3 linked regions of the Astyanax mexicanus genome follow. The protein of the gene in region 1 binds, or shares a complex with, the protein of each later gene. Links are inferred from orthologs where the notes say so. Each region holds a gene or a part of one and is shown in the gene's direction. Other genes may lie near its edges.

Region 1 (7,661 bases):
GGCTTCCTCTTGAGGGACACAAAACACAGCTGTTTGTCACTACTTGCTGTGGCATTTCGAGGTGGATTTCTATGCTTAGAATAAATATAACATGATTTTTAAAATAAACAGAAAACCATTTAGTCCAGGACTAAGCTTAACCCAGTGTCTGTCCTGTAATGTACTATTATAATAATACAGTAGTTTATACAGTAGTTGTTCAGTACAGTAGTTGTTATACAGTAGTAGTTCAGATGAATGGGTATCAGGTTTCAGTTCTTTAACCTCTTAAATCCCCATGTGAATTACACAGTAACACAGTATACTGTCGTAAATTAAAAGGGTAAATACATCTGGACCTGCTTTTTTCAGGGGGTAAAAATTCCAGTGGGACAAATAGAATCAGACACTTCTTTTGATAAATGTGAATAACTTGGGATACAACGTGAGATTCCTGTGATGTGTCAGCCCATGTCAAACTCAAACTGAAAACACAGTAAGAGAAGAGAATGTGAGAAAATCTAATTGTAGCCGTTCTCTTGAGACTGGGGAAGCAGTGGATAGTTTTGGGTCATTACCACGGCTTGGGGGTCCTCCCTGTTGGTAGGATAAACTGTTTTGTACAGTCATAACAGGACATACCATTTCAAGACGTCTTTAATGGTGCACACACTTATACACTGGATACTTCGTTTGGATTAAAGAATTTGGATTAAAATGCTTTTAGGCCTGAGAGGATGGGTGAGAGCTCTGGCACGAGCAAAGCTACCCCAACAAGATCACAGGTCAAACATCCATTGCAAACCACCTAAGGACAATATTGGACCCGGGGTAAATATCCTCTCATCATAAATTTAGATATCAATTGTGATATTATTTTTTTTCTTTGCTTTATACAATAAATAACATACACAATAAGGATTTGAATATTATATAAAGGTTACAGAAGTTTCAGTAGGAACAAAAAATGTCCATAGTGTAATAAGCAATTGGACTATTTTTTTCACCTGATAAATTAGTTATTTCAAGTATGATTTGTGTTAAATGAAACCTTTTGTGCCATTCCTTTACAGTGTACATTCTAAACAAAAATAGAATAGTTTAAAACTTCAGAATTTAATGCCAAAAAAATGCTTCTACTGACAACGTATCTTGAAGATGGGAAAAAGTCTTGCAAAGCTACAAGCACTTTGGAGAGATAAAGAAGAACAGGCTGCTCTTCTGGGAGTTCTTGTAAATGCATAAATAGGTCAGAGAAGTTAAATATCATGCCATTTTAATGTGTTCAGTTCTCATAAAACAGACCAAATTAAATGACTACAGATCATTCAGAAAAACAAAACAATGCACGAGCAAAATGCATGACGAATATACATTTCAGAAAAAATTGGGAGAAAACTTGGGTTTAAAACTTCTGAATGGCAGAGTACAGTAAGTTGTGTACAGCTGTGCTCTAGCTTTTTTTGTCTTCAGTATGCCTGATTTACTAATCAAGCATCTTTCTAACTGGTACCTGTAGCATGCACTATATAACAGTAACAGACTGTTTTCTATGAATGTGAGTTTTCTAAAAATGTGATGCACTGAATTTATGTAAGTCGCTATAAGGTACTGAAAAAATAAGCATTTTATGCAACATTTATTTTGATGTTTAAAATATGTATAATGTTAAACAAGTCACAACATTTTGTGCATCTATACAATTTTGGCTTTTAATTCACTTTTAATATATGTGGTACTAAGTCAGAGTAATCAAAGCTGGATTTTGGGAGGAGGAACATGCTGGAATCCCCTTCTCTTTCCAATCTAACCTCCCATCCAACCCATCTCTTCCTTTCTTGTAAATGATTAAGTCTTTTGCAACTCACCCATATCATCGCCTCCTATACACTTAAGCTAGGTCCTGAAATAATCATTCTTACAAAGTACTTTATTATGCTGTTAAAAAAAACATTTTCCTGTTGGCAGGTCATCAATCAGCATCTGTGTATATCCATTAGTATATCTGAAGCATTTCAGTTCCAATATAGGCAGCCAATAAGAAGTCATATTAAAGAATGTGATGTAGTGTGTAACTTTAAAATGTGCCATTCAGTCCATTCAGTGGACATATGAACACTAAACTGAAAAACAACTTTTTAAATCCAATTTTTTCATGATATCTTAACCATATCATTTAAGTATAGCTACTTAACCACTTACATCATTTTAGCCCCACCCATTTAATTCACAGCAGTTTAGCCCCACCCATTTACTCTGAGTTTAAACTGCTTAAACCTGGAATGTTTTTGAATAAAGCTACACTCAGAATACAGGTCATTTATATAGTATACAGTACAAAGCAGTGTTAACAGTATTGTGTGTTTACATCTGAGTGATAAACAAAGACTTTTCAAAAATTAAACATGACTGTTTTTGAATTATAAACCCATTAAACAGAAGATTTTCTTTAGTTGAAACATTTCACTGTTGCAACATGGCTCTCAAAACAATTTCTACACATTTTACTTGTTTTAATTTATTTTTTCCATGTCAAATGATCATATTCCACAGAATCTTGTGTGATAATGAGGTTGCAGAAAGGTGGTATATAACCCCATTATATCCAGTGTTGAATTAACACCTACACCAGCTGGTCAGTAATGCAAACTAGAGGTGTTCATTTAACACTGGGGACTTGAATGGTGTGCATTCATGCCAAAACATGCTTCATAAAGCTCTACACAACAATGAAGTGTTTTAATTTCTTTCTAATCTTTATTATGTCTCCACAGCAAACAGTGTTTACCATGTCCGTCTTTGCACTTGCTCTTCTGGTCCCGGCGGGTTGGATCATGCACCATATTCCAGTTTACAAGCAAAGACCACCTCCTGAAGTCTGACCTCATGGCTTGTCTTCAACACTTCTCCTGAAATATATACCATACAGTATACAACAGTTATTGTTGACTTTAATAAATAATGTTAATAGTACAGAATACTGACTGGTGTTTTCCTCTGTGAAAAGAGATGATTATTATCGGTTACATTAGTAGTACTACCGGTACATAACGGGTTTGGTGCCAGAATACATAAAAATGGTTTACTGATGAGTAGTGAGGTTTACAAACACAAGACATGACAGTATTGTTTGGTTAATGCTCCATTATCACTCGTTTTTAATTGGCATGACCATTATTATTGATAGTGTAATGTGATGTATTGGTTTAAAAACTAGAATATAAAAAATATATCTTGAAGATGGGAGATAATCTTCCAAAGCTACAAGCCTTTTGGAGAGATAAAGAAGAACAGGCTGCTCTTATTGGATTTCTGGTAAATGCACAAATCCATTAGAAAAGATAAATATAATGCCATTTTAATGTTATAAATGAACTGTAATATCAGCTCTCATAAACAAGCCAAATAAACTGACTACACATTTAGAAAAAACATATATAGATAATATATATATATATATTATCTAAAGAACCATTGGACCATCTTTTGCCGACATAGCATCTCAAAATAATGAGATAATAATGAGTATTTCAACATAGCAAATTCTTATCTCAAAATAACGACTTAGTATCTCAAAATAAAGACATAGTATCTCAAAATGACAACGTTGTATCTCAAAATAACAACTTAGCATCTCAAAATAATGCCTTAATATCTCAAAATAATGACTTAGTATCTCAAAACAACGACCTAGTATCCCAAAATAATGAGAGTTCTCCAAATAACAAATTAGTATCTCAAAATAACGACGTAGTATCTCAGAATAACGACTTAGTATCTCAAAATAATGGGAGTTTCTCAAATAATGAATTGGTATCTTAAAGTAACGACTTAGTGTGTCAAAATAATGACTTAGTAACTCAAAATAATGTCTTGGTGTCGCAAAATAAAGATAATGACACGTTAAATAAAGATTCGCATTAAATTATGAGAAAATATGAGCTGGATTTTATTTTATTTTAGTATGCAGGTGTGTGTGTGTGTGTGTGTGTGTGTGTGAGTGTGTGTGTGTGTGTGTGTGTTTGAAAGTGTACGTGTGTGGGCTTCCTCGCGGTTTGTGTGGGCGTGGCCTGCACGCGCTCTGCCCCTGCGCGCGTTGGTCCTTTAAGGAGTATTAAGAAGCTAATATGTCGCTACATTCTCTGAGAAGATTAAAAAAGCCCCAAAATCCCGTCCTTAGAACCAACTGTTGCTCGTCTAACTCCTACAGCAGCCCTACAATAGGCTACACCTTACATACAGGTTACAACACCACCTCCAGAGCCGGCCAGGCACCTGTTTACAGAGATGTTACAGAGAAAGCCCTGCAGGCGGGCTGACTGACTGATAAATAGATAGCCTGGGCTAATAGCCTGTGCTGTTTGGTGTCAGGAAATTAATATCGCGAATGGCAACTGTTCGACACGGAACAGTCCATTATATTCGCTGGAAAGGTGAGCAGGGAGATTAGCCTACCTTTTGTTCTGGGTGGGTTTAAGGTTTCTGGCTGGTTTAGGACAGAATATAGAGGGGCTGTGGGTGTTTATGTCTTTATGTGAGGAGAAACGAGGAGGGGAAATGGGCTGATGTGTGAGAGAGCGAAGGACAGAGAGAGAGAGAGAGAGGGAGAGAGTGGTACAACCTGAACTCTGGAGCTGGTGGAGGTGGAGGTGGTGGTGCTGGGGGGAGGAGGGTGCAGGAGGAGGAGGAGGGGGCTGTTGGCTGTTCACTTTTTTTCCCCCAACACTGAGAGGAGGAACAGTGTGTAGACAGCGCAGGGTTAAAGAACAAACACCGCCGTTTTGGGCTTTTTTTGTGCGTCCAGTTTTTCAACATGTCTACGAAGGCAGAGCAGTGTAAGTATCCTCGGCTGCCTTTCCATTTATCTCTGTGTCTCTGTGGCTGGTGGTCAGTGTGTGTATATCAGTGTGTGTTATATATATATTTTGAGAATGGGGCTGATGCTGCTGCTGTTGCTGCTGTGGATGTAAATGTGGGTAGCTGCCCTTGGTGATGAGGAGAGAAAGAGAGAATGTGTGTGAGAGAGAGAGAAACAGGGGGGAGAGAGACATTGCTATAAGGCGAAGGAGCTGCAACACGTCCTCCTGCTGCAGGAGACGAAGCTAAAGCTCTGGGTTTAATTCAGACTGAGAACAGATTCAGAAAGAAAAGCTGGTACTGTGGATGTGGTCATGCTCTCGTGCTCATGCTCTCACGCTGCTCTCGTGCTCATGCTCACTCATCCTCAGGTGATGTTGACTGACATTAGGGATTTCTGATTTTTTTTCTGCCTAAAACAGAAGCAAAACGCCCCTTTTCTCAAGGTCGAGCTGCTGCTTCTCCCCATTTATCAGGATGCTGATCATTAGCTAAGCCCCTCACCTCAGCCCTCGTGTAGGTTTCCAGCAGGGAGAAAGAGAGTGTGTGTGTGTGTGTTAAATTAGACTGTAGGTTTTCCTGTTACTGTGAACAGGTGAGTCACTGCTGAGCACCAGCACAACTACAGAGTAGCTCAGTTATTACAAGCACAGCAGATAACGTTATATGCAGACTGTTCAGATAGTATTAAATACATGGTACAAGGCTGGGAGGAACCCACCACCTCATCTATGAACCACTCCTCCACCCCATCCATCCCCTATCTCTATCTCTGCCTCCTGCTTTTTCACTATATCTATATAAATGTCTTCTTTATCTCCTTCATTGTCTCACCTTTTCTCATCCCCCAGACTATAGAAGGGTGTAAGATGCATTGCAATTTTGTTACTAAAGCTGTATAGACTTTTCAAAAACACAGTAACGTTTTTTTAAGTTAACTGTTTATACATTCTTTCACTCAGAATTTATAAATATGAGTGTGATTTTATTACATGACAGTTTTTTTCTAAAATCGGATTTGCGATTGCAATATATCACCTTACTTACAGTATCGCAATTTATCTCAATATATTTAGTCATAACTCTTGTGTCATAAAAACATGTCATATTACCAATACAGAACCATAGCATATACACACACAATAACAACAATAACATTAACACCACTGACAGATCATGTAAGAAAACAAAAAAAACAACAACAGTAATCTTAAATGACAGTGGCAACTATCATAAAATTGGGCATTGTTAAGTGTATGGCAAATTAATGTAAGTATATGTAAAAACATATGTTCTTATATGTACAAATATACCTTAACTTATTTATCTATAATTAAATGACTAAATAAGTGTAGTGAATAAAGATAATAAGATGAAAAAAATTATAGTGGCAACCACTTTCAGGTATAGCTTAAGCTTGCCATGAGCATGGTGAACAGTGTTCAGTCTCACTTACAACATAACATCTAACAACCTATACTGGTGTGGCTGTTCCCAAGACGTCCCTGAAGTAACATTTTATGATCAATTTATAAATTTTAGTGTTATACCATGCATTTTACCATGTCAGTGTGTAGAAATACAGTATATACTTAAATATACATAATTACATAATTATTAGTTAAAAAAACTTTAACTCACTCTACTTCTCTTTTTTTGTTTTTCCTCTGCATCATATTCATATTTCTGTATATTCATATTCATATTTTCCTCTGCAATTCATATTTCTGTCTTTTGTCCCCTCCATTGTCTTTTTCTCAGTCAAACTCTCAGTCTTCAGTTTTTCCCCATTATGCTGTATATCTTTTGTATTATTGTTTACAACCTCTCTTTTTCACTTTCTCTTTCCTTGGTGGGTTAGCCTGTTTTAGTCAAGTTTGGACAGACTAGAGTTAATACTGTACCTCTAACAGTGTGACTCACTGAAAGCATGGAATAACAATGGCTGTCCGTAGGGCTACAGCTGACCTGACCAGATACTAAAGGTCATCTAATAAAATACTTACAGTACTGCATGAGCACAGCTTCAGTACAGGCCTTACCACTATGGATTGATTTATGTTGGTACAGAAGGGTTAAAATATGCATTTACTGTGATTTGCTTTAAAATTGTAGAGCATTTTAAAGATTTCTTTATTGCAGTGGTGATAGGAACCAGGTGTCTCAATAAATGTTTACAACACAAATACAGATGTTTTGTAGTTGTCAAATTTACTAGGGATGTTAGTGAATTACACATGTAAATTCTGCTAATGCCAATGCTGATACTAATATACACAATTATACATTTTAGAGAGACGAAACACCACAATATATCTTTAAAAGCAAACTTAAAATTTTTGCCTTACATTTTAGCTTTCATACAACTGTATCCGAACAATGAAATAAAAAGTTTCTCCTGAGAATGTGTTCACAATTTGAGCTTAAATCATGAGTTTTAAAGTTGCAGGGCCAGTGTAAGCCAATTATTGTAGCACAACCAGCGTCATTAGTCATTTTCCAGCATACAATAAAAATGTCAACAAATATCGCTTAGAAATATCAGTAGAATCAGCCAATGCTGATGGTTCTAAAAAAAAAGAAGCAATTATCGGCCAATACTAACATAATTTTGATATTATTGTACTACTTTACTTTGGGACAAGCTGCTAGAGTTGTTTAGTTGGTTCAGAATTTTTCTCCTCCGGAGACTGGACGGGACTAAAACACATGACTACACACAGGTCTGGGGTAGGACTGTCCTATGAAGAATCCTTCTCAGTAGCCTGTTAAGCACACTAAAAAGGCTTTGTGGTGACATCACATGCAAAATGGCACAAAGCTTT
Region 2 (6,934 bases), on another chromosome or scaffold:
CTGTGTAATAACAAATAAAAGCAAGATGGCAGCTTTGTCTTTTTCCATATTTTAATATATATATTTAATATATTTCCTTTACAGAGAAAACTCCCAGATCAAGAGGTTGCTCAAGGATCTTACATTGCACTGCCTCTGACTCTGTTGTTGTTACTGGCAGTGTATAACCATGAAAAGGTATGTTTTTTTTTTTTTCTTTTTCAGCATCCGTGTTGTTCTCTACACTGACATGCCAAAATCAGTGAGTCTTTGCTATCGTAACCACAGGAAAAGTGCACCTTGCATGGCTTGAAATGAGCAAAAGACATGAACTGATTCTCTTCATTAATTATGGGTGTGTTTTAAAAGCGTAACATAAAATACACTAATCAGCAAACCTTTCAGTAACAGGAGTGAGTATTGTTCACTAGTTTATTTGTTTATTAATGTGAATATTAGTTCATGTAAACCACTTTTTTTCCCAATTCTGTTTCGTTCATTGTTTATCCATTTGTTAAATAAATTGCATGATAGTAAATTTGATCGTTTTGGGTCAGGGTGAGTCTTCTTAAAAAGATTTTTTTTTTTAATTGGATATTTGGAAAAAATACAGTGTGCATGCATATATAGTGATTTTTTGTTATAAATATAAATTATTTGAACATGCAGTCAACCATTTCTTTAAAATCAAAGGAATTAGTGCACTTGCTTTTAAAGACACCTTTTAATGTCACATTAGGTTTGTAAACATCTTCTGATTAGAAACCTTGTAAAAAAAAAAAAAGTAAAAAAGTAAAGCTGCCTGAGATTGACCAGTACATATTTTAAATAGTTAATATACGTTAAATATGTGTTAGATTCAGAGTTAGATTTAGAGAGATTTAAAAAATAAGTTTAATTTGGAAGCATTAGAACAAGCAAATGACACCTATTCGGTGGAATGGCTCATTCATAGATAATGTAGTTAAATACTACAATACATCACCATCAGCTATAAGGTAAAAAGTGTTCTATGGGTGATTATGGGCTGTGATAGTAACAGCACATGTTTCATTCGCTTCAGGTGATCCCGCTGTTCCTGCAGCTGCTGAGCCGCATCCAGGGGGTCAGAGGACTTTCCCAGACCAGCGGTGAGGGTCTAACTACGGATGAAGCCAAGAGACCATCCAAGAGACCTAAGACGAGACGCACATAATCCTCCAGGGACAAAATCAGAGCTTCAGACACTACAAACAACTTTCTTTTCTGGCCGAAACGCAAGACTTGAGTTTCTCAGCCCTGCAGTTTTACATCTCTGTGAAGTCTCTGTGTTTAAGAGCCTCACTGATGAGTCTCGGGACTTTTAACAGCTGGTGCTTTATCGAGGTTTAGAAAAGAGCTGCAGTCAAATAGTTTCAGGCTTAGAAGAGCATTAGAAGTGGCTGTTTGTTTGAAGTATTTTTATTTCTTGGCGTCTTCTTGGAGAGTTCTGTTCGAAACCCTGGTGTGTGTGTTTGTGTGTGAATGTGGCTCTGAAACTGCGTGTTTGTGAATGTGGTTACTCAGGGAGGAGAGTGGATCTGAACTAATGCGTGAGGATGTGTGTATGACTGTGTGTGTGTGTGTGTGTGTGTGTGTGTGTGTGTGTGTGTGTGTGTGTGTGTGTGTGTGTGTGTGTGTGTGTGTGTGTGTGTGTGTGTGTGTGTGTGTGTGTGTGTGTGTGTGATTAAATTTGATAGTTTCTATCATAACAAGACACTGACCCAAGTAGTTAATTAAATATGATGATGATGATAATGATTATGATGATGATGAAGATGACGACACTTGTTTGTATTAATGAAATATTTATTAACAACAGTGAAATCGATTTTCCCATTTTTTTTTCTAATTCCTAAACTAAAGCCAATCATTTTTGAGCATTTGGATCATAGTTAATATTTTTAGGTTAGTGTTATAATATTGTGCTACTGACCATCCAACCAGATTGCAACCAACATTTGCAACCAATACATTTTAAATCATGATTAATAACATCCAAAGTCCAAATAGGTGATTGTGACAACATGCATTAAAAAGGTGGTATAATATTTTTTTTGCATGGTCATTATGAGTAGTTTTGAGTTTGGAGCAATTTGACCATTAAATATGTTTTGTTATTTTTTTTATATAATAAAATTATGTCCCATCAAGCTAGAAACTTCCTACAAGCAGCTCTGAATATTTGTGACTTTTTTATTTTATTATTTAATTTGTCTCCAGTGTGTTAATGAATTTGGTGCGTCTCGAGTCCATGACCTGTATCACAAGTTCGGGACGTAACTCTCAGTGAAATTCTCAGTGAAAACAAAGAAATAAAATAAAATTATTTGGGAGAAAAAAATGTGTGTTGACCCTATTTGCATGTTGGTGTATTGTATATCCTGTGAGAAAATGTATGTACTGTGTTTTATTTATGCATAATGTTAATTTAGATAAAGTGTTCTATGTATAACTTAATTATTGTTGGACCACAGAGGCCCAAATCTACATTATTCTCAGTATTCTGCACATTTTATGTAAACACTTCCCTTGGTTTACCTTACTTTTGGTTTGCCCGTGTGTATATATATATATATATATATATATTAAGGCTATATTGGCAAAAATATTGATCAACCATTAACATCAACCACTGTCTTAAAGAGTTAAAGACTAAATACTTTAAAAGATTTAGATTAAAACCCGCTTTAAGTAGCTGCTGATATCTAGCTTTCTTACATAGGCTGTATTTATTGCATTCAGTAAATTACTGACATTAAAATGTTAGATTGTTTGAATTTACCATTCCACCTTAAACGGTTCTCATTTTCTATTCAACCTTAAATGCTGCACATTTACTGTTCCGCCCTAAATGCTGCTCATTTACTTTTCCATCTTAAATGCTGGTCATTTTTTATACAACCTTCAATGCTGCTTATGTACCATTCCACCTTAAATGTTGCCCATTTACCATTTACTGATGCGCAACATATGCACACTCTCTCTACTGCTGTCTGTCTTTTGAAATAAATGTATTTTATGATTGAATAGTCCAGGCATTCTTTAAATTTAATTTGTTTTTAATTACCTCTGATCATTATTTACATTTTTACTTTAATATTTTATGAATAAAATATTTGTGATATATATAAATGCAATACATTTACACTCATGCCTCAAAAATGACCCATTCATTCAAAGTGTGATATAAAATAAACTATTTTAATACTGTAATAATTAGTTTCAGGTAGTTTTTTTTTTAGCAGGGAGTGCGGCCCAATTATTTTTTTTATTTGCCGCAGGTTTGTCACTTTTTCACACACAGCATTTTAAAAATAATTATAAGTATTATTAGCTAGCTACTTGTTGACATATTCTAAAAACTATTTTTATTTACCTGTGTGAGCTGTGAAATGGTAACTGCATGTGGGTCGTGTCTGATCTGTGTGTGAACTTGTAGAAATAGAAAAGAAAGAAGGGCAAGTAAAAATGAAGGTTTGTGCAAAACAAAAACAAGATATTCACTGAGAACTTAAAAAAATGAGTAGAAAATGATTAATGATTCATTTATTTCAAAGATACAGTTTAGAAACACTCCACAAGCTATACTTGTTCATTTATTGGGTAGTGATGCAAAAATGTTTTTTATTTAAAAAGTTAGAAAGGGAGAAAAATAAATAGTAATAATATATATGAATTAAAAAGTGTGATGATATTCTATTTTATTTTAGCACATATACATGGTGATAAAAAAACAAGGTAATTGAGGAATTCCTTGAATACTGAATGTTTTTAATAATTTAATGCAAAGATACATCAAATTAAAAGTCAGAACGTCGGTCGCTTTTGAACCATGATGCGCATCAAAGGGTTAATAGAATCAAAGGCTGTAGAGGGGAAGGGGGGATGTGTGGAATCAGTGCTGGTGTTACTGCGCCTTTAAAAGAGAGAGAGAGAGAGAGAGAGAGAGAGAGAATATGGCATCATTCAGATCTGCGGCCGCTCTTATAATAAAATAATAAATATTCCTGCTCTACTGGAGCTGTTCACTAAATACACCTGCAGAAATCACCACCCGGAGCGGATCCTTGCGGTTCCTCGACATGTAGCGCTGTCGAGAGAAAACCCTGAGAAAAACAGGAGAAAACCCGTGATAACGGGCTCTGATCTCCGGCGAGAAGATGGTGAAGAGGAAGAGCCTGGACGACAGCGAGCAGGAGAACAGCCGGGGGATACCGTTCCCCATCCAGACCTTCCTCTGGAGACAGACCAGGTGAGCAGAACCTGTCAAACCCTGGTGTTTAATATTTACCTGTAAAAATATAACCCGTGGTTATGTATGAACTGCCTGTGCGGCTCAGCAGCTGTTTATAAATAGGCCTGTGTGCCACAGTATGTTGTTGCTGGTAAAGCTAGTAAAATATATTACCTTCTTCTGGCTGTAATTTGAATTGAATTGGCTCAAATGTTGGGTTTTAGCTCCCTTACACCAAACTAAAATGTAAATATTGTGTATATAAAAATAGAATAAATGTAAATATATATGAATATATCATAATGATAAATGCTGTGCTGTTGCTGTTGCAGTGCGTTTTTGAGGCCGAAGCTGGGGAAGCAGTATGAAGCCTCCTGTGTGGTGAGTAACAGCAGTAACAGCAGTAACAGTGATGATCAGTGGTGATCAGTGGTGATCAGGGGGATTTTTCCCCTCACCCATCCCTAATCTCCTCTCCTCACACCTGAGGCTTCTGGCTCTGCCACATCACCCACTCTCCATTATTGTGCTCAGCCTCTACTTACTAACACTAACTCAGTTTAGTCTATTTCAATATATTAAAAAAGAAAGAAAAAAAAATATATATATATAAAGTCATTTGGTTGGATCGCCTTTAGCTCTGATTTCAGTGTTGTGCTGAATTCAGCACCCCCGCCAGGAAAAGCACCCCCTCTTGGGAGCACGCACCCACGTCTTCTTGGCTTCTTAACTTTACTTAGAAAATGGAAATACCCAAGATACTGTTCTAAGCTACGCTGACTCGTAAGAAATAAGGAAAAAGAAACGTCACCTGCAGCCTCGGCCGAGAGGGGGTGCTTTTCCTGGCGGGGTGCTGAATTTGGCAACATACTAGTGTCTAAATCTGCACCCCCGCCATGAAAAGCACCCCCTCTCGGCAGCGTGTACACAACGTCTTCTTAATAAAAGGGAAGATAATTGATGGTAGATGATGGTAGAGTCTGACCGCTGCACAAAACCTTATCCAGCACATCCCAAAGATTCTCAATGAGGTTAAGGTCTGGACTCTGTGGTGAACTCTCTCAATCCATGTGTGAAAATTATGATCTCATGCTCCCTGAACCCTGAACTCTTTCACAATTCCAGACCCATCAATTCTGGCATTGTCATTTAGGAATAAGCCCTTGCCATCAGGGAGGAATAAATCCATTGATTGAATAACCTGTTTATTAGGGGTGGGCCCTAAAAAATAACAGGATATTTCATGGTGTTTTTGCAATAACGATACTCTTGGCGATATGACAAAACACTGAATTAAAAGAAATATTTCAAGAATACACTACTGAAAAAAATAGGGTCATATGACGTATTCTGTGTAATCTGCCCCCAGTCTTTTGAGCGGGTTTTGGTGGAGAATAAACTCCATGGACTCTCTCCAGCTCTTACTGAGGCCATCCAGAGCATCTCACGCTGGGAGCTGGTTCAGGCAGCACTCCCACACGTCCTCCACTGCACCTCCATCCTCCTCTCCAACCGCAACAAGCTAGGTAACCTCACCAGAAAAGTCTGTGTTTTATAGTCCATAGCTTATGACTATTGGAAACATTTTCATTTGAAACACAGGTATGGGTACGTGTTGTTATCTCAGTTTAAAAGTTTGATAATTTGCCTAATAGTTATTTAGAAAAAGCTGCATATAATTTTTTTGTTTTATTTGTAATCTGTTCAGAACAGAAAATCTGAATGGAAAAGATTAAATCTGAAATGGTTCCCTACTTCCAGCACAGAGCTTTAAATAAATCATGGAACTATCTCAATGATTTACAATAGCGTTAAATGTTAAATCTGAGTTCATACGACCAGTGGTTGAATATAAATGGCTCTCTGTTAGACATTCAGAGCACAGTTGGGCTCAAATATAACTTGCGTAAAAACAAAAAGCAGTTAATAAAGTGATAAAGCTTGATTGCAGTTGTTACCGCCAAGTTATTTATTTAGATTTTAATACATTTTTGGCTTTTTTGGCAAATAAAATCAGCTTTTTTTGTGTAAATATGACCCAAAAAACAAAAAACTAAATAAATCTGTAAGGGCTGAATACTTTTTTCACAGCAGTGTATGTGATAATTGATTTCCACAGTCGTCTCCTTTGCTTTGAAACTGAACTTTGACCTTTTAGCTTATTCCCTGGCAGGACACCAGGACAAGCTTGGTGTAGCCGAAACTAAGCTGCTCCACACTCTGCACTGGATGCTGCTGGAAGCTGCTCAGGAGTGCCACCAGGACCTCGGGCATGGCTGGTCTGGAGGGGGTAGCAGTGGCAGCAGTGCTTTCCTCCAGCCCCTGGGGAACCAGGGAAACGTTGAACGCAACGGCAGCACACCTGAGGAGAACGAGTACGCCCGGGCCAAGCTTTACCACAAGAACATGGCCACTGTGGAGCTTTTTGTCTTTCTGTTCGCCCCTCTCATAAACCGCATCAAGGTTGGTTCTGTTTTTCTAGAGTACCAGTTAAAGGTTTGGGCACACCCCTTGTCAATCAATGTGTTTTAATTATACTTATACTTATAATGTAGTCATTAATGAAAGACTAAGAGCAAATGAACCCAAATATTTTATAGGGCTAAACCATGTGGCTAGTACTCAGGTGATCTACTTCCTGGAAGTGTCATGTGCTGTATCAGAGGAAGATTAACACACTATATGAACTTAAATAAATAA
Region 3 (7,890 bases), on another chromosome or scaffold:
CAAACAGAGGGAGAGCGGGCTGGCCAAAACCGGCTCCAACTCTTCTGAGGCCAATAGCGCTCTACAGGCAAGTGCCTTTGATTAGTTCTGACTCCTGCTGCAAAGCAAGGAGCGGGACAGAGAGGGAGCTGCTAAAAAAAAAAGTAAAAAAAACTCAGCCACTAGTGAAAGACATAATTCAAAACAGTTGTTAATAAAGATGATCTAATAATACACATTTTTTTTCGTAGTGTACAGTGTGTACTTTGTGATTTAGCTAGCATACGCTCATAAAGCATATTAAATAAACATTTTATGTGAATTAATATTTTAGTTCCTTCCATCAATTTTATAATTATTATTTCAATGCATATAGACCTACAATGTACAATAGCAATGTAACACATATATAGGAACATATACTAAGTATACAATGTAAATTAATTATATTATATATAGTAGTAGAAAACTCTTGCCATTTAGCATAAGCATGTACTATAATATAGCATTTGATTTATAGTGAACTGACTAGGAAACTACCAAACAACAAACAATTTTAATTTGTGCCCCTTTGAGTACGTCTGGCACACCACCCCCACATTGCATTATGGTATACATTGGAAATTCTAGTGTACATTGTCTAAACACTACATTTTGTGATGCATTATAGGTGTTTAATATAATCGTGTATTTTTAAGACTTCTAAAAGCAATAGAAATTGGCTGACGCATCATATAGTGCATTATTTCTGCAGTAGGAAGCAATTCTGAATGCAGCACAAGTGTTTCCTGTCAAAAGCATGCAGGATAAATGTTTTATTCGTTTTACAGATTTTTTTCGTTTTACCCTTAAACATGAACAGCCAATCAGCTAGCTGCTCACGCTGTGAAATGAGGAGGGTCAGCCTGATATTGGGGAAAGCACCCCTGGATGAGGAGATCTGAGTAAGCGCAGAAGCTATAACAAGATGGATTAATCACATTTGCTTTTGCATCATTGTACATCATGATGCCAAAAGTTACTAGCTGTTAATGGCATTTTTGTCGGACTATATCAGTGATTTAATATATATTGTTAAAATTGTTAAAACCCTTGGTTTAAAGTATTTGGGTATTTGCTCATTCAAACAGATGGAAGGCTGCTCTTGTATGAGTGGATATAACTAGGTAAAGGTGGAATCTGTCCACATATTAGGAATGTTAGGATGCATTTGTTGCCTTTGATTTGGATACAGAGCCATATGTGGTTTTATTACATAGTAATAAAAAGTAAAAAATGTTCCATGGGTGGAACGAAATTGTGATCTCATGATCCAGTTTACACCTGGCCTAAAACACACTACACTATTATTACTGCCCTCTCACAATAATACAGGGAACTACAATAATGCATGATTGAATTTGATTTTTTTAAGTGAATGCCGTCACTGATATAAATATCATTCAATTTAGCCAATCAAATGATATTTAAAAAAAAAGGATGATCTAGAAAAAGTCACTCACACAGTTTGCACTCAACTTAGTCTGTGTCTCCAAAAGTGCCCAAACATTTACAACAAATTACACATTCACTCACTAAATCTCAGTACTTACCACATTTAATCAACATCTAGACATTTAAATACCTTGTAAATCTCATGTTCAGCTGTTTCTATTGTTTTTAGAGCTGGAGGAGGTGGCAGGAAAAAACGTTGACTAATCGACTAATCGAAATAAATAATCATCCGATTATTTTACTACTTGTTATCAAAGTAAAAAGTAAAAAAAAATGTCCCATAGGAAAAACAAACTCCCCAATAAGTGTTGTGATTTATTTCCTTACTAAAAATATAATCTATGCCACAGAGAGTTAATTATTCTATAATGACCTATAGGTTCAAAGAGTTTAACAGGTGTTTCTTCCTAAATCCTCCATAAATATTAGATTTATACCTGAATGAACGTGTGTGTGTGTGTGTGTTATAGTTGTAGTCCTGGCTGTGTGCATTGATTGTATCTGGTGCTGGAGGGCCTGTGTGTGTCTCGTGCTGCTGCTGCTGCTGAGGACAGGGCGCGTGCCCGACGCTGCCGCTGCTGCAGTAGCCCCTCCGCCGCCGCTGCTTCTGTAACCGGAGCTCCATCATAACCGGCGTTCAGCGGGAAACATGGACCCAGCGGACCAGTGAGGCGCGCAGACCGACCCACAGGTGAGCGGCGCGGCGCTGTGAGGTGATGTTTAGCCCTGTGGACCCGTGGTTTCGCTGTGAGGGCCGTATAGAGGGATTTGACTGGGCTGTTTACCTGTAGATGTTAGCGTTAGCATTAGCTTTAGCAGGAAGTGCTACACAGGCTATAGCTAAAGGCCTTGGGTAAAATAAACGCGTATTTAGAACGAAAGAAGCGACGTTTTAACAACGTGTAGGTGCTGAAAACGAAGACAGGCAGTTTTTAAGCGTGTAAATGTGTTTTGTTTGTATGTATCTTTAATAATAAGACGATTTATCCTTTTTTTTCCTGAGCCAGTGGCAGCCCTGCTCTCATCTGTTACCATGGCAACCGGCTCAGAGTGTGTGTTTCTGTGTGTGTGTGTGTGTGTGTTGGCTCAGGGAAAGAGGGAGGGAGGAGGGGGGATGGGGTCTCCATGTACATATACACTTTTGGTATACAAACACATTTTCCTACTTTTGCTAGAATTATCTACTCTGAGTAGTTTTATAGCTTTTTTTAATATAAAATCAAGACAATCAAGACTATAGAGGACAGGCATGGCCTATAATGTGTGAAATTAATGTTAGCTAGCTATAGTCACGTGTTCCTCCAATTTAAAGTCCACTGTTAGTCAATGAAGGTGGTCCATACTGTTATACTGATGATCTAGGTGTACGTTTTCCTCCAATACAGATTATGTATATTATGCTGAGGGGCTGTTGCTGCTCTAGTCTGAAATAGGAAACCCACACGCCTCTTCTTATATACCCATTACACCTAGTAACACTTAACCTGTTTGTTATAGCTTAGCTATAACTTTAGCTATAGCTTTCCAGTATGCATTATGTGCCCATCACATTTTTACATTCATAATTCAGTTCCTGTTTCCGCAGTAGCTATAGCTCTCCAGTAGGGGTGGGGGATGTGGCCCTAAAATAATATTTCAATGTTTCATGGTATTTTCGTAATAACGATACTCTTGGCATTATATTTCAAGAACACACTACATATTTGTATCAGAAGTCAATAATCCAGAATGTCATGATACTAATAATGCACTCCAAATATCTCCATACATCCAGGAATAAAGTAATATAAATTGTAAAATAAATAACTGATACTGGACAGATAACTGATAATATAAATAAATATAAATTATATAAATTTCTCTTTTTAACTGTTCATGTAGCTTGCCATCAGCTGCCAGAGCCCTGAAAGAGCACAGAGGGCTTTGCTCTCTCTGGTGGGTTGATGGCGCTCTCTCTCCCCACATCACTCCAAAGGGTGATGTCGATCAGCACAAGGTGTCTGTGAGCTGATGTATCAGAACCAAGTCTGTGCGCTGTCCTCCGAGCATGCTGGCTGCGCAGTAATGCTACATCAGCAGCAGTATCGGAGGAGGCATGTGCTAATCTTTACCCTCCTGGTTATTATTCAGAACTACTACAGGCTACACAATTTTTGCAATAATTTGACTTTTCAGTTAAAGCCTTTCAAATAATTTGTCACAAAATGCTTTTAGTTTGCTTTAAACCACATTGTTATAACATTCTGATTACATCTTTACTGTGCAAATAACCCTGGATGATACTCTTTACATATTTAAAACAGTTTCATACTACTTTGTGATACTAGGGGGCACCCACAGCTATCATTAATATGCCCAGTGATTGCATCCTGCCTCTGGCGAGAAGGTCCTTTCTCCAGAAGTGAAACTAATTGCAGTTCTCTCCAACCTACTCCCACATTACAGCACACCCACCCTGTAATTTTGTTTTCACTCATCCATAAATCCTTACCAACATATGCTAAGTGTAGCAATTAAGGCCTATTTTGCAGATTGCTTTTGACAATATAGAGCTTTTTGAGTAAGTTGTTCTCACTTGATGGAAAAGTTCTCACTTAAGTAGCTTAAGATAAAAACAAAGGCCTGAGTGAGGGTACATCTTTATTTTTCAAGTGTGTGCTATTGGTGGTTTGTCAGGTTATTAGAGACCCCTGGCTGTTCCTGTGTTTCTGTGGTTGGCATAAGGCCTTTGTTAAATCAGATGTTTATATGGGAAGCATATTTAACATAACAATGTTATGTAAACATGTCACAAATGTGTATAAACGTCACACATGTATAGTGAAGCCTACTGAATATACAGTTTCTAAAGACATAGTTAGATAGTTGGTGTGTGTTATATTATATACAGCTTAACGGGAGCTTTGGGAGGTTTTGACATTGGCATTACAGTATTCTTGACATTTTTTAATGTTTTCAGTGTTTTGTCATATCGTCAACTATATTGTTATCGCAGAAATACCATGCAATATCGTGATATTATTTTAGGACCAAATCGCCCACCCCTAGTTGGGAGCACAGCTTAATGTGAGCTTTGAGAGGTTTTCAGCAGTGCTAGATGAATGTTTTAAATGTGAAGAGGCTTTGTTTTGTTCATATATTGTTCATATATTGTAACATGCCAAATAAACTAGTATCCCATGACTTTTGCCATAAACCATGTATGATAAAGAACACTGCATTGACTTGTGATATATGAATATGAGAGCATATGGGTCCACATGCTGCTGATAACAATTATTACCCTCCAATGCTCTGTCCACTGTAGGCCCCCTGCTTATGTTATAATTAGAAAGGTCTATATATTTTCTTTAGAACAAAAAATAAATCCTAATTTGAGTTTTTCTTTCTTGCTTCATTTTCTTTCCTACAGCCGCACAAGAAAAGTCACAGCTCTGCTGCCCATTTATCTTTCGTACTGGTTTCCACCCCTCTGTGTTCTGGGGATGAATGCACCAATGAGGAGCCTGACCGTGAGTCACATGACCCAGCAACCCCATCTGTCCAGAACACCCCATGTCGCATATATGCCTTGTCTGATTGTGGTGGACATTATCTGTTGATATAATCGTACTGTACACGTTGGTACACCATATATGCCATGTTGACTAACTGTTGTGTGTTATTTACAGGGTATGCCTGATCGCATGTTATGTGCAGTGCTGGAGCAATTTCAGCTTTACTTTTCCCGTTGGTATGTGCGCTTTGTTTCAGTTAGTGTGTGATATCCATGTATATTATTGTCCACTGTGAGAATGGCCTTTACTTCGTAGTTTTAAGCGAAACTCGGTATTGACTGCCTGTAGGTGTGTTTATATTGCTGAAGATCGAGCATGATCTTTGCAGCAGGTAAGTCAGTATATATATTGGTGTGAAGTGAACCGTGTTCTGTGTGTTTCCATGCGCTTGATTGTGCTCCACCTATGCCATGCAACAATACAATGCATACTGTCTGGTGCGGAGACGTGTTCTTATGTTGTAATGCGCAGCTCCCGTGGAGAGATATCTCAGATTTGAGACTTTGACCTTTGTTCTGTTCGTTCTGCATGTCAGTGTAGGCATACCTGTATTAGACTCTTCCTTCTCCTTTTGTAGCAAAACTGTATAAAATACTTATAGAAATAGTGCTAAACTTTGAGCTTGCTATACGCTTGCTTGTCATACAGTACCAGTCAAAAGTTTGGACATGCCTTAAATTGATTAATACTAATGTCATCCAATCTATTAAGAAAAATATGACACTAATTTAAAAAAATGTGTTAAACAAACCAGAATTTGTTTTAAATTTTAGATTCTTCAAAGTAGCACCTCTTGCTTGCTTAGATGACAGCTTCCTCAGTCAGCTTTATGAGGTAGAGTCACCTGGAATTCAGGCTTTCAGTTAACAGCTGTGCTGAACTCGTCAAGAGTTAATTACTTGAATTTCTTGCCTCTTAATGTGTTTGAGATCATCAGTTAAAGTAAAGTTGTGAAAAGGTAGAGTTGGTATACAGTGAATAACCCTATTTGAGTAATGTTCTAATCCAGATTATGAGAAGAACTACTCAACTAAATAAAGAAAAAAAAATACTTTAAGAAATGAAGGTCGGTCAATCCAAACAATTTCAAAAACTTTGAAAGTATCCTCAAGTGCTGTTGCAAAGACCATCAAAAACGTAATGATGAAACTGGCTCTCATTAGGACTGCCCCAGGAAAGAAAGAGCAAGAGTTTCCTCTGTTGCACAGGATAAGTTCATCAGAGTTACCAGTCTCAGAAACACTTTTAATTTACTACATGATTTCTTATGTGTGGATGACTTCAGCATTATTAACTTACAGTGTAGTAAAAAAAAAAGAAAATAATTTAAACATTGAATGAGAAGGTGTGTACAGGCTTTTGATTGGTACTGTTTATTACTGGATTATTATTATAGTCCATTGTAGAGCTTTTAATGCCATAGTTTAGTAGTGCATGGACAGCAGCTATTAGCATTAATTGCGACATTAGCTTTTAACACAAGCGGCTAGGAACATCGTAGCCCAGTGCTAACTGCGTTTGGAGTCAGTTTTGGTACTGTGTGTGGCTGTGTCTTTCAGATTCACTCCCTTTATAGCACGGCTAGTCCCAGCATGCTGAAGAGGAAGCAGAGCTCGCGCGTCGAGGCGCAGCCCATGACGGATTTTGGGCCTGATGAAACGCTCACCGACAGTGCTGACATCCTCTGGATCAACAAACCAGTGAGTCATTCAAATGAGATTGTGCCACATATCTGGCATTTCCATCCCTAGAAGTGGCAGCTAATAGACTGTGCCCTGATTATCCCTGATGGCTGGTGTCTCAGTGACATATCAGGACTGTGCGCTTACTTTTTTTTTTAGCTAGTAGCACTGGCTATTTTTTAAATCTAGCAGCTTATTTCCATTTCAGACTTTTATAGGATACAAACAATTTACATAATGAAATTATGTTTTTCTCTGGAGACGTTTTAACAACCTTTTGATGTTCTGCAAATCTTTCTTTGTATGTGTAAGAGCCGGCATTCCTTTTAAAAATACCTTTTCTCCACAATAAAAGGTGCTTTGCTATGTCCTTGGATTTACTTACTACACTATTAAGCTAGGAATGCTGTAGAATATTTGTCAACTGTGTTTCCTGATAACACTGCATATTTAATTTCATATTTTCTAAGATGTAATTGGCATCTTGCACTAACTAATAATATATAGATCTCTGGAAAAATAAAAGTTTCTTTGATTTTACCAAATTACTACAGGAATATAATCAAGAGGAATATGGATGGTCACAAGCTCTCAAACCAAGCTGAACTGCTTGAACTTTTGCACCAGGAGTAAAGCAGCATAAAGTTATCCAAAAGCAGTGTGTAAGACTGGTGGAGGAGAACATGCTAAAATGAACTCTCTTTGCTCATCAGGCATCTGTTGGATGCCCCACTGTATCATAGCTGGGAATCTGCACTTTCCTCTGAGCAATTTGGTTGCATAGTAAGGATGCAGTGGTAGCAATGGTTGCAAAATTGGGAAGAATATTGGGTAAACAACAAAAATGAATTGAACTAAAAATATTTTAACACATTATAGGGCTCCAAATTGTCCAGTGGTCTAAAGTGCTCCCACTATGATTGGTTGTCAATTGGCCTTGCTCTCTCTGGGTGGGTAGATGGTGCTCTTTCCCCACATAATTTCAATGAATGATGTCGATCAGCACAAAGCGTCTGTGAGCTGATGTATCGGAACCGAGTCGCTGCGCTGTCCTCCGAGCGCGCAGTGATGCTACTCGGCAATATTGCATCAGCAGCAGTTGGAGTTCTGGTGTTGGGGCATCACTAGTGGTAGTAGTAGGGGGAGTCCTAATGAGTGGGTTGGATAATTGGTCTTGT

Evidence for each region.
Region 2: the proteins of protein unc-79 homolog (region 1) and protein unc-80 homolog are in contact, whole or in part, in a cryo-EM structure (PDB 7W7G), measured with the Mus musculus proteins. The link is inferred for Astyanax mexicanus from reciprocal best matches to the Homo sapiens genes UNC79 and UNC80. Residues at the interface, in XP_030102533.1 of Mus musculus: Thr120, Tyr123, Ser127, Ala130, Thr131, Leu168, Ser169, Ser172, Met175, Ile176, Gln179, Tyr180, Tyr207, Tyr211, Gly212, Pro213, Ser214, Val390, Cys391, Glu394, Glu402, Phe405, Arg472, Cys541, Asp917, Phe920, Ser965, Glu966, Phe967, Ser968; in NP_780719.2 of Mus musculus: Gln23, Thr24, Trp27, Ser31, Leu34, Arg35, Pro36, Ala80, Pro83, His84, His87, Ser94, Asn95, Asn180, Ala183, Leu187, Phe190, Leu191, Arg337, Leu340, Gln341, Pro342, His343, Arg1317, Asp1320, Glu1321, Asp1324, His1545, Val1546, Asp1547.
Region 3: the proteins of protein unc-79 homolog (region 1) and nalcn are in contact, whole or in part, in a cryo-EM structure (PDB 7SX3), measured with the Homo sapiens proteins. The link is inferred for Astyanax mexicanus from reciprocal best matches to the Homo sapiens genes UNC79 and NALCN. Residues at the interface, in NP_001333147.1 of Homo sapiens: Cys861, Gln862, Ile865, Glu968, Pro969, Asp970, Phe1020, Gln1022, Pro2088, Asp2089, Ala2092, Pro2093, Leu2095, Leu2096, Met2099, Leu2139, Pro2141, Asn2142, Gly2143, Ile2144, Gln2147, Leu2148, Ser2151; in NP_001337678.1 of Homo sapiens: Gln349, Met350, Phe351, His352, Glu353, Gly358, Trp359, Gln360, Leu361, Phe712, Ser713, Ile714, Arg717.

The regions. Positions count from the first base shown.
Region 1 is NC_064421.1:14,334,101-14,341,761, forward strand, and holds the start of protein unc-79 homolog, read left to right. Parts: upstream 1-4,648; 5' UTR 4,649-4,792; coding exon 4,793-4,814; intron 4,815-7,661. UniProt on the Homo sapiens protein: Auxiliary subunit of the NALCN sodium channel complex, a voltage-gated ion channel responsible for the resting Na(+) permeability that controls neuronal excitability.
Region 2 is NC_064412.1:56,682,825-56,689,758, forward strand, and holds the start of protein unc-80 homolog, read left to right. Parts: upstream 1-3,929; 5' UTR 3,930-4,160; coding exon 4,161-4,252; intron 4,253-4,566; coding exon 4,567-4,615; intron 4,616-5,603; coding exon 5,604-5,760; intron 5,761-6,392; coding exon 6,393-6,697; intron 6,698-6,934. Other genes in the region: nomo (nodal modulator 1), read left to right, coding at 85-177, 1,043-1,174. UniProt on the Homo sapiens protein: Auxiliary subunit of the NALCN sodium channel complex, a voltage-gated ion channel responsible for the resting Na(+) permeability that controls neuronal excitability.
Region 3 is NC_064418.1:3,881,712-3,889,601, forward strand, and holds the start of nalcn (sodium leak channel non-selective protein), read left to right. Parts: upstream 1-4,885; 5' UTR 4,886-4,958; coding exon of another isoform or gene 4,959-4,985; intron 4,986-5,144; 5' UTR 5,145-5,164; coding exon 5,165-5,206; intron 5,207-6,589; coding exon 6,590-6,730; intron 6,731-7,890. UniProt on the Homo sapiens protein: Voltage-gated ion channel responsible for the resting Na(+) permeability that controls neuronal excitability. NALCN channel functions as a multi-protein complex, which consists at least of NALCN, NALF1, UNC79 and UNC80.